3 linked regions of the Struthio camelus genome follow. The protein of the gene in region 2 purifies or fractionates together with the protein of the main gene of each other region. This does not show direct contact. Links are inferred from orthologs where the notes say so. Each region holds a gene or a part of one and is shown on either strand. Other genes may lie near its edges.

Region 1 (3,743 bases), on a different chromosome or scaffold from region 2:
ATTTTCTCTGGCTGGGTTTTAACATGCCTGAGTAGGTAGCTTGCATTCTGGGCCAGAGCACATGATCCTATCTCCTTGCTCTTCCAGAGGACGGCAAATACTCCTTAGACATCTCTCCGGTCTCCCAGGCCTTTAGCTCAGCTGGGAGGGCTGGTGATTTGAAGGAGGGTGAGGTTGCATCAGCACAAGGGAGCACTTAGGCCAAAAGCAGGCACTGGTGGAATATGGGCAGTATATCAGCTCCTGCTACTGGGGGGGCCTCTGGAGAGGCCAGCTGGGAAGAAAAAAAAAAAAAAAAATGTATCTGAGCTGCCAGTCCTGACTCCAGCACTTACTGCTAAGGCTCCATTAGGAGGCAATAGTACATAGCTTTCTTGACAGGCAGCGTTATTTGCCTGCAGGAGGCCCGGCATAGCTAGCAGTGAGCAAGGCATGTAGGATGGATCCCACCTTCTCCACAATCACTGTGCAGAACCACCTCACTAGAGCTGCTGGGAGAACAAACACACACAACACAAGGGAAGTTGGTTTCAGACTTTTATTTTTTCATACTCTTTAAGCTGGAGCGATTGAAATAGAAACCATGTTTGAGTCCCGTTAGAGGAATGACTTCATGAAGACAGGGCAGGCAGTCACCCCTGCCCCATGCCAACCTGTATAAATACCAGTTGCCACTGATTAGTAACTAGACCGTTTTGATACAGTCCATGAATGGTCATAGATTACATAACACAACATGCCAGTTCAGAACAGGAAATAACTTATGTGTACTTCTTGATTTCGTCGTACAGGACTAGGACAAAAGCACCACCCATTCCTCGGAGTACATTCGACCAAGCACCTTTGAAAAATGCCTTGGAACCCTCATCGCGGGCAATCTTCCGCCAGCAGTCGATCGTGCCGGTGTACATTATGTCAGCTGCAGGAGATAAGAGACTGTTAGGAAACTGATGCCCATGACCCCCAAAACGAGGTGAGAAATGGCCTAACTTATCTGCCAGCTTCACAACCTCAAGTCAATCCTGTTTCTTGTCTTACATTCTCCAGAATTATCACATTAGAGGACAATATTGTCCAGGAGATATGCTGCAGCTGCAGCACCCCTAGGAGACACTGGAAAGACCGGTTTGAGCAGGATGCAACTACTGTTTGCTACACACCAACACTTCCAGATCCAGCACCCACTGCACAGTCAGCCAGGCCATGCCTGCAATGAGGAACATCTCTTCTTGGCCCAGAGACACTGGTTTGCAACATCCTTGGGCAAATTATGCTGCTATTGCCTATTCACAGAAATCTTGCTTGTGCATGCCACGTTATAGGAGTTCAGAGTGGACGGATCCATCTGTTCCTCCCACCTAACATCTACCTAGGCTCCTGGAGCCCCTCTCACACTGTTCTGTTTGCAAAAGTGGGGGGGGGGTAGCTACAGGTTTGCTGAAAGCAAAACCATTCTGCCTTCATCTGAGGTCTACGAGCAGCTGTTTCTTCAAGGATGCCCAACACTTCCCTACACAGGAAATGGAAACTTACTTCCTTTACGCCCGGACTGCATCATCATGCGACGACGAACCGTATCGAAAGGATAGGAGGTCAAGCCAGCAACAGCAGTGACCGTCTGAGCGATCATCCAGCTGATGACGATGTGGGTGTTCTTTGGGTCAGGAAGCATGCCTAGGGGACAGAGGGTTTTGCATGGGGACACCAGGCGAGCCAGCAGCACGTGCCAAAATAAGCTACAGATCTGCTGCGGTCCAGCATCTCTATTTCAACTAAATTTCAGTCCACCTACCCTTTGCGGTGTCGTAGATGCCAAAGTAGGCAGCTCTGTAGATAATGATGCCCTGGACAGACACATTGAAGCCTTGGTAAAGGCCCCTAAGGCCATCCGACCGGAAGATTTTGACCAGGCAGTCACCGAGCCCACTGAACTCTCGGTCAGCCCCCGCTTTACCCACATCAGCGGCCAGGCGGGTTCGGGCAAAGTCAAGGGGGTAGACGAAACACAGGGACGTGGCGCCGGCGGCGCCCCCGGACGCCAGGTTACCCGCAAAGTAACGCCAGAACTGGGTCCTTTTGTCAACGCCGCCCAGGAAGATCTGCTTGTATTTGTCTTTGAAGGCAAAGTTGAGCGCCTGGGTGGGGAAGTACCTGATCACATTGGCCAGGTTGCCGCGCCAGAAGGACAGGACGCCCTGCTCCCGCGGGATGCGCACCACGCAGTCGATGATGCCCTTGTACTGCTTGTCCGCGGCGATCTGCTTGCTGGCGTGCTGCACCTGCGGGAGGGCCGCCCGTCAGCGCGGGCCCCGCCGCCGCCCGCCGCCCCCCTCTCCTTGCGGCGCCCTTGGGGAGGCCCCGCCGCCGCCGCCGCCCCGGGCCCCGCCGCTCACCTGCAGCAGCAGCTTGACCCTCTCGATGGGGGCGACGGCGGTCTTGGAGATGGCGGCCGCCACCCCTCCGGCGAGGAAATCCTTGGCGAAGGACACGGCCGCATCGGTCATGGCGGGCGGCGGCGGCGGGCCGGGAGCGGAACCGGGAGCGGAGCGCGGCCGGGAGCGGTGCGGTGCGGTGCGGTGCGCGGGGCGGCGAGCGCGCAGCTGAAATGGCCGCCTTATATAGGGGCGGCGGGCGGCCACGTGGGCGCGGGCGCGCCCCGGCGACGCGCCGCCGCGTCCCGCCCGCCCATTGGCTGCGGGCGAGGGGGGGCGGGGCCGCCGCAGCGGGGCGGGAGGGGAGGCGGCAGCCGGCAACCGCCGTGGAGGGGGGGGAGGGGGAGAGCGGGACCCCCCGGGGGGGGCCCACGCGCATCCGGCCCACGGGGGACGACGCGAGGCGCCGGGCCAGCCGCGGCCGGGCAGCAGCGGCTCTGCCCCGGGGGGGCTCCGGGTCGCGCAGCGGGGCGAAGGCGCCGCCGTGACTTCGGCAGGAGCCGCCGTGGCGCGACAGACAACGCGTCCGTGACGGAGGGGTCCGTCGCCGACCGGGCGCCCGCGCCCCGACACGTCCCGGCTTCGCCGCCGCCGCCGGGCTCCGGGCACCGCGGAGCCGCAGCGTTCGGGCCTACTGCGCCGGGCTGCTGCCTTCAGCCGCCGCGAGATGCGCCATGAGACCTAGGACCTGCCCCGCAGGGCGAGGCCCCTCAGTGACCCCTCACCCGCCCACGCGCTTCCGCTGCGTTTTGGCCTTGTTGTTATCGCACCGCTCTTCACGGTGGCACCGCTCATGGCTCCATGAGCCATCACGGGCCATCCGCATGGAGGCCACCGCTTGCACCGCTTCACGCTTGCACTGCGGTGACCCGTTGCTGAAGCCCTTTGTTTCAGCGCTGCCTTACATGCTCTGCTGTTCCTCTGGGGGATTTCACGTGAGTAGCTGTCATTACACAAGGTGGAAACTTGGTTAAGGTTAATAAGTGATTTATAGGTCTTAGGAATACATTACAATACAAAGAAGGTGTCATTAGCATATCAGAAACAAGTTAGAGGTAACTTTTTAACTCACTTAACTCTGATCAGCTTTGAAGAGCTGAGCAAACGTTCATATGCGCCCATCACTAACGCTTTAAGTTCTTTACAGAAATACAATGTTAGTAAAACACATGAATATGCTTGGACCAGGTAAGGACACCCTTTAAGAAATCAGTTCCTTCCCAACTCATTCCAGTAGTGACCCGAGTCACGTTTCCTTATTCACACATCCCAAATAAATCTCAGCGTTATTATCTGCAGATAGGGAAACTG
Region 2 (3,743 bases):
GCAGCAAATTTACTCAGTGGAACAGCAGCACGAGATGCTTTGTAACCAGCTAAGCAGAAGAGGAAAAGACAATCCTCACTTCAGATAGAGCTCTTACTGCGTTGACTCGCTTATACGAATCAATTTTATTACAATGCCAAAAGCAAAAGAGGCTACTGGCTGATTATCCAATTTGTTCAACAAAAATTATTTAGTAGTATAAAGGGACTGCACTGAAATGCAGACTACATGACTCCCTCAGTGCCTGAAGTGAGATTTGTGTATTCATAAGGACTGCAAATGAATCACAGTGGATGAAGCAAGGAAGATAGAGTTCCACTCCTATACTGTGGGATTTACTGTTGTAAATATCGTAACAGAAAGTGAAGGAATAGCTGCCCACGGCATTTTATGAGTAACAGGATTTGAGCTTTGCCCTGGCTATGAATCTGACACTCATATACAATGTAGTAACATAAAAGTGCTCCGAAACTTCTGAACTGAAGCACTGTGAGATTGCAAAGGCAGGCAGAGTGAAGATTAAAATTTGTTTTAAAATTCTGCATTAAATCATGTAAGAGGAGTGTTAGCATAGCTAAAATGAAAATTAAATGATCTCTATCTTCCTTATGCACGTCTAAGCATTCCACAAAGTCATTTCAGACCTACTCCTGGTTGTTACTGGATTTCGTATTTTGTACTTCCTAGTCCAAACTTCTGGACGTTAATTTTGTAAACTGTTACATACATAATATGTTTTATCCCCAAAGTAATTGATGAGGAATCCTTCTGTATTTCTTAATGACCCAACAATTGAATAGTAAAATAAGTTAAAACTTCAAATTCTGCACAGATATTTTAGTGTTCAAAAGAATCACAGAATCACAGAATCGTTTAGGTTGGAAGGGACCTCTGGAGATCATCTAGTCCAACCTCCCTGCTCAAGCAGGGACCTCTAGAGCATATTGCTCGAGAGGCAATATGCTTGAGAGGATTGTTATTGCCACTGTAAACATTACACATCACAGGCAGGAGTACAGTTTCACATTTTAATCTGAATTGTATATTTGTGACCTCTGGCTAAGGTCTAGTAGCTTAAGAAACGTGCTCTTAAATAGTACCATTATTTAAGCCGCTTTTATGACATCATTTATGGTTTGCTTTCTAGTGAATAGAAAAAAAAAGATGCCAGAAATGTTGCAATCATACAATTTTTTTTTAACAAAAAAGCGAACGCATTGCACAGACATCTACAATTTATGAACGTCCTTTGGGAATAACACAGTCGTAAATTTAATATATGCCTGCCAAGAAGGAGTTGTTTCATATGACAAATCTGGCAACTGCACTGCAAGTACAACATCAAATTGCAGATGTGCCACACCTAATCCAACTGGGCCAATGTCAAGGGAGGGCAAAAGCCAAGCACGACCATAGACTGCAGAACCTCTTCTTAGCTAAAAGAAGAATTTTCCTCTCCTAAAAAATCAGCGGCTGGTACAACTCTCTTGTAGGATAGGGCTACAGATGTCTGGATTCGTATTGTATCATTCCACTTTTCAAAAGTCAGTTCAACCTCGGCAAAGGGTAATACCATCAGGTCGAGAACGCGCTAGATAACGTTATTTGTAACGCAGAACCTATGCAATACCGTATTCGCGTTGCTTGACTTCTATTTTCTACGCTACCTCCTTTTATTGCTTAAGCAGCACCAGCGACGAGCTGGAAGAGCCATCCCTTTTAAAAGCAAGCAGACACCGCGTCCTTCTGCAGACCAACAGCCTTCCGAGGGTCGCCTTCTCAAACATACGAAAATTAAGAAAACGGGAAAGAAAGAGCCAAGCAGTAATTTTTCTTCCAGGAAAGGACGGAGAGGCTCGGCTTAGCCGGAGAGCACCGGGGTGGCCCAGAGGCGCTTTAATCCGCCGTTTCCTCTCCCGACTTCGCCCTTGTGGAGGGCGGCGGCGGCCGGGCCCCGGCCCCGTCCCCGGCCGGCGAGGGCCGCCCCGTCCCCGCCTCACGCCTCACTCCGGGCCGGGCCGCGGCGGCGGCGGCGGCCCCTTCCCCTCCCCTCCCCTCCCGGCCCGGCGGTTACCTGCTGCACGCCCGCCGCTCCCGCGTACAGGTCGGCCACCACCAGCACCGGCACGTGGACGTTTCTGCCGTTGAAGAGTTTCGGGGCTGCGGAGAGGGGGGAGGCAGAGAGGCCGCGTTAGCGCCCGCCGCCGCCGGGCGGGGGGGGGCAGCGCGGCCCGCCGCGCCTTACCGCTCTGCCGGGCCGCCAGCTCCAGCAGGTCGCTCAGGGTCTGCACCAGCGTCTCCAGCCGCTTCCTCTCCTGCACGTTTTGGAGCCGCACCACCAGCTTGCTCAGGGCTTGTTCCTCCCTCGCCGCCGCCGCCGCCGCCTCCCTCTCCTCAGGGCTGGCGCTGGCCATGGCCGCCCCGCTGCCCCTCCTCGGCCGCGGCTCACCCCACGCGCGGGCCGCCGCGGCCCAAGGGAGCAGGGCTGGGGCCGCCCGTCGCCACGCTGCGCCGCGCTCGCAGCGCCGCCCGGCCGGCGTCACCCAGCTGCTCCGAGCCTCCGCGGCGGCCGCTCCCCACTCCGCTGCGCTGCGCTGCGCTCCGCCCCGCTCCTCCCGGGGCCGTGACCGGCGCGGCGCGCTGCCAAACCCGCGCGGGCGGGCGGGCGGGGATCCCCGCCGCCCCCAGGGGGCGCCCGCGGCGGCTTGGCAACAGCCCCAGGCGGCGGGCCCGGTTCCAGTGAGCGACAGCCCCATTCTCCAATAGAGTGGCAGAGGGGAGGCCTCGGCTCCGCCCCTTCGCCCCCGTTTACGATATAGGGCGGCGTGAGGGGCTGAGGGTTCCTCATCTGAGTGTATTAGAGGAAAATAGGTCTGGGGGCGGGGTGCTGTAGTCTGTAGGGAAGGGAAAGGGGGAGCGTGTGTAGGCTGTGTGTCTGTCCCCTCTGGGAGGGTAGGACAGGTCCTGAGCTGGTGAGGTCCGCCTTGCCTGGGGAGGTGCAGGGGGGTTGCGTGTCCCCTCCTGTGGCTGGGCTGTCAGCGAGGGCCTGGGGGGGCAGCGAGGGGGCTCCTCCCCTTCCTTGAGAGGTTAAGTCGGCTGTGTGGTGGCTGAGATGAGAGCAGAGGGCCTCAGTGGTTCAAGTTGACCGTGGTGGAGGGCAGTGTGTGCTCTGCCCTCCTGAGTGGTTTGGCCTGATGGCCTCAATTAGGTCCACAGGTTTGGTTAAAAAAAAAAAAAAGTGGTGTTGCATTTAGAAGTTAAATTTCACTCTAAGCTTTGCAACGGTGGGCCTTCCTGAGACAAGGCTCTCTTGCCTTGTGCATGTGTTGCTTCATTTGTGATTGATGCAATCTTCCTGTAATCTGACAATATTTCTGGTACCTCTTGCTGCTTTTCAAAGAAAAGTGTTAGTTAATAAAGTAAATTATCTAGTTAAACTGGATTTTGTTAGATAAACGTTTGACCTTTTGGAGGATGATGGTAGGAGTATGGATCTATTTGAAGCTCTTGCTTAGGTTTTCATGCCTTGTGGATAGATATGCATCGTGTTTATTGAACACCTGACTTAGGTGATTGGCTTGAGTTTCTTAAAACAGACTCTTCTTAAGAAGCAGAACTGAGCACTCTGAGTAACGCTTCAGAACCCACGTAGCGCTGGCTAAACTGTCTCTGGTCTGTTGGCGTTTTGGTCCTGAAAAACTTGGGCATTGCTGTCCCAGTCACTGAGAGTTCTTACATTTTTG
Region 3 (3,743 bases), on a different chromosome or scaffold from region 2:
ACACACGCAGCACCTCATTTCAGCCATGCCAACCCCCCAGCTCAGCATGCAGCCAGAGCAAACTCCCACACCAGAGGGGCACTCCAGGTGCCACCGGTCTCTCAGGGCGGCTCTGGCCCATACCTACCCAGGAAGGATGGCTGGAAGAGGGCTTCCGGACACCTGAACCGCTCATTGCCAATGGTGATCACCTGACCATCAGGCAGCTCATAGCTCTTCTCCAGGGAGGAGGAAGAGGCAGCAGTGGCCATCTCCTGCTCGAAGTCCAGGGCGACATAGCACAGCTTTTCCTTTATGTCACGGACAATCTCCCTTTCAGCTGTTGTAGTGAAGCTGTAGCCTCTTTCTGTCAGGATCTTCATGAGGTAGTCTGTCAGGTCACGGCCAGCCAAGTCCAGGCGCAGGATGGCATGGGGCAGAGCATACCCCTCGTAGATGGGCACAGTATGGGTGACACCATCCCCAGAGTCCATAACGATACCAGTGGTACGGCCAGAGGCATACAGGGACAGCACAGCCTGGATGGCAACGTACATGGCTGGGGTGTTGAAGGTCTCAAACATGATCTGGAAGAAAGAAGAAACAGTTCAGCATGGAACAACAAGCTGGGTCACTCACACCTGTGTTAGAACATGCATGTTGACATGCAAAAACTGATGTGTGAAAGAAAAGCAAAGAACGCAGGCAGAAAACACAAATGAAAGAAACCTGAGACGTCAAGGAGGAAATGCCAGGAGTAGAGAACCCTGAAAACATTGGGAGAAAAAAAACTCAGGTTTAAGATGCCATAACAAAAGAGGGTTTGTGAAGATGGAGGTAAGCGGCGGCTGCTGCCCAAGGAAGCGTACCTGTGTCATCTTCTCTCTGTTGGCCTTGGGGTTCAGAGGAGCCTCTGTGAGCAGGACAGGGTGCTCCTCGGGAGCCACACGGAGCTCATTGTAGAAGGTGTGATGCCAAATTTTCTCCATGTCGTCCCAGTTAGTGACAATACCGTGCTCAATGGGGTACTTCAGGGTGAGGATTCCTCTCTTGCTCTGGGCCTCATCACCTACGTAGCTGTCCTTCTGCCCCATGCCCACCATGACGCCCTAGGAAGGGACGCATGAGTCAGCTCCGCGCACTGCAGCACCGCCCCAGGCACACCCACTCCGGGCAGGGCCCTCCCAGCTTACCTGGTGTCGGGGGCGCCCAACAATGGAGGGGAACACAGCACGGGGAGCATCGTCCCCTGCAAAGCCAGCTTTGCACATGCCGGAGCCATTGTCGATGACGAGCGCTGCAATTTCTTCTTCCATTTTGAAGGATCTGATGTCGGGGGGGGGGAGGAAGAGACAGAGCCCTCGCTCAGCAACCCAGCCCTGCCGTGCCCAGCGCCACGTCACGCCCGCACCCTGCACCGGCTGGGGGCCGCGGCCCCGGGAGGCCGCGCTGGCAGCGGGCCAGCCCGAAGCTCGGGGGGGGGCGGGCAGGGGGGTCCCGCAGCGCGGCCAGGAGGGGAGGGCCGGCTCCCGCACGGCACGGCGCCAGGCGGCCGCCGCCCTGCGGCGGGGCGGCTCCCCGGGGGGCCCCCGCCGGGCCGGGCCGGGCCGGGCCGCGCCGCCCCAGCGCGGCAGCCCCGCGCCCGCCCCGCGGTTTGAATCTCCCGCGCCCTGACGTCACCCGCCTCCGCGGCCAATCGCGCCCCACCCTCCTCCGGCTCGCGCGTTCTTCCCCCTCCCCCCTCCCTTCCCAACGGCCCGGCTCCCATTCAAACGGGCGAGACCACTCCGGTGGGGGGAGGGGTGGGAGAACACCAGGGCGGGCACAACCCACCCCACGAGCCAGCCGGGAGCGGCACGTTGCAAACCCCCCCCGCCCCCTCCCCCCCGGGGACCTCAGTGGCGCGGCCCAAGAGGGGCGCGAGCCACGCCCTAACGGCTAACGGCCACCGGCCCCGAGGGCGGCGGGGGGCTCGGGCCGGGCCGGGCCGGCCGGTACCTGTGCGGAGGAGGCTTCTCGCGGTGCGGGGAAGGGAGACGATACCGCCTGGTCTGCTGCCGCCGGCTGAGTGAGACCGTCCAGCTCCCAGCCCCACGCTTTTATACCCAGGGGGCGATGACCCCGCCCCGCCGGCCGAGAAGATCGCCATATATGGAGATCTTTCAGAAACACGCGCTCCCATTGGCTGGCGCGGCCCCGGCCACGTGGGGCGGCTGCCGGCCTGCCCCCGCCCCGCAGCACCCCGGAACCTGCATGGGGCGCAGAGGCCGGGGGGGGGGGGGGGCGGCGACCCCGGCCCCGGCAGCGCCCCGCGCCGGCCGCCAGCGCCGGGCACCCTCCCGCCGCCGGCGCCGCCCCGCGCCCGGCCCGGCCCCGCCAGCCAGGGGCGCCCCGGGCACGCCCGCGGGCAGCCGGCACCCCCCGACAGCGCCGTGCACCCCCCCGACAGCGCCGTGCACCCCCCGGGGCAGCTGTGCACCCCCTGACAGCCCTGTGCACCCCAAAGATTGCACCGTGCACCCCCCGGGGCAGCTGTGCACCCTCTGACAGCACCGTGCACCCCCCCCCCGACAGCACCGTGCACCCCGTGGGGCAGCTGTTCACCCCCCGACAGTGCCGTGAACCCCCTCCCCGACAGCACTGTGCACCCCCGACAGCACCGTGCACCCCCTGACAGCACCCCCTGCAACAGCTGTCCACCCCCAGATAGCACCGTGCGCCCCCCTCGACAGCACCATGCACCCCCTGTGGCATCAGTGCACCTCCCGACAGCACCGTGCACCCAAAGATAGCACCGTGCACCCCTTGGGGCAGCTGTGCACCCCCTCAACAGCACCGTGCACCCCCTAGACAGCACTGTGCACCGTGCCGCTGGGGCAGCTGGCACCCCCTCAGAAAGCACCATGCACCCCCTGGGGCAGCACCGTGTACCCCCTAGACAGCACCGTGCACCCCAAAGATGGCACTGTGCACCCCCCGGGGCAGCTGTGCACCCCCCCGACAGCGCCCTTGTGCAGCACCATGCGCCCCGCACGAGCACCGCCCCGTCGGCAGCACTGTATCCCCCTCGGAAGGCCTGTGCCCCCCTCGCACAGCACCAGGCACCCCACAGGCCGTGCCAGGCACCCTGACGCGCGCACCTCAGGGAACGCCGGGCGCCCAGAGACGGGGCTGCGCGCCCCTCGGACAGCGCCGGGCACCCTGCTCGCAGCACCGCCCCGCGGGCAGCACCGTGCACCCCGCAGACAGCGCCGTGCCCCCTTCACGCTGCACCACCCCTTGTGCAGCGGCACTGCGCACCCCTCAGGAAGCACTGTGCACCCCTCAGGCAGCACCCTGCACCCCACAAATAGCACCGAGCACCCCACAGAGAGCGCTGTGCACCCTCAGATGGTGCCGTGCACCCTCCAGGCAGCACCGCCCCGTCGGCAGCCCCATGCACCCTCTGGCAGCGCTGCACACAGACAGCATCCTGCACCCTATGGACAATGCCGAGCACCCCACGGACAATGCCGAGCACCCCACGGACAGCGCCGAGCACCCCATGGACAATGCCGAGCACCCCACGGACAGTGCCGTGCACCCCACAGACAGCGCCCCGGGGCCGGCACCGCTTTGCCATCAGCTCCGAGCGCCCCACGGGTGGGCAGGTGGCACCCGGCGTGCGTGGCGCGGTGCGTCCTGCGAGAGCCCCCCGCGTGGCGCAGGCTCCGCTCGGCGCCCGGCGTCGGGCACGGCCAGCACGGGACGCCCCGAAGCACCTG

Evidence for each region.
Region 1: the proteins of LRRK2 (region 2) and SLC25A5 purify together in Homo sapiens (co-immunoprecipitation; 3 studies listed by IntAct, with this or other methods). This does not show direct contact. The link is inferred for Struthio camelus from reciprocal best matches to the Homo sapiens genes LRRK2 and SLC25A5.
Region 3: the proteins of LRRK2 (region 2) and ACTG1 purify together in Homo sapiens (affinity purification with mass spectrometry; 3 studies listed by BioGRID and IntAct, with this or other methods). This does not show direct contact. The link is inferred for Struthio camelus from reciprocal best matches to the Homo sapiens genes LRRK2 and ACTG1.

Annotation. Positions count from the first base shown.
Region 1 is NC_090952.1:12,062,973-12,066,715, forward strand, and holds SLC25A5 (ADP/ATP translocase 2), read right to left. Parts: upstream 2,682-3,743; 5' UTR 2,505-2,681; coding exon 2,394-2,504; intron 2,280-2,393; coding exon 1,793-2,279; intron 1,675-1,792; coding exon 1,534-1,674; intron 920-1,533; coding exon 762-919; 3' UTR 525-761; downstream 1-524.
Region 2 is NC_090942.1:16,688,132-16,691,874, forward strand, and holds the start of LRRK2 (leucine-rich repeat serine/threonine-protein kinase 2), read right to left. Parts: upstream 2,515-3,743; 5' UTR 2,415-2,514; coding exon 2,246-2,414; intron 2,161-2,245; coding exon 2,075-2,160; intron 1-2,074. UniProt on the Homo sapiens protein: Serine/threonine-protein kinase which phosphorylates a broad range of proteins involved in multiple processes such as neuronal plasticity, innate immunity, autophagy, and vesicle trafficking.
Region 3 is NC_090960.1:1,595,247-1,598,989, forward strand, and holds the start of ACTG1 (actin, cytoplasmic 2), read right to left. Parts: upstream 2,133-3,743; 5' UTR 1,978-2,132; intron 1,306-1,977; 5' UTR 1,296-1,305; coding exon 1,173-1,295; intron 1,089-1,172; coding exon 849-1,088; intron 567-848; coding exon 128-566; intron 1-127. UniProt on the Homo sapiens protein: Actins are highly conserved proteins that are involved in various types of cell motility and are ubiquitously expressed in all eukaryotic cells.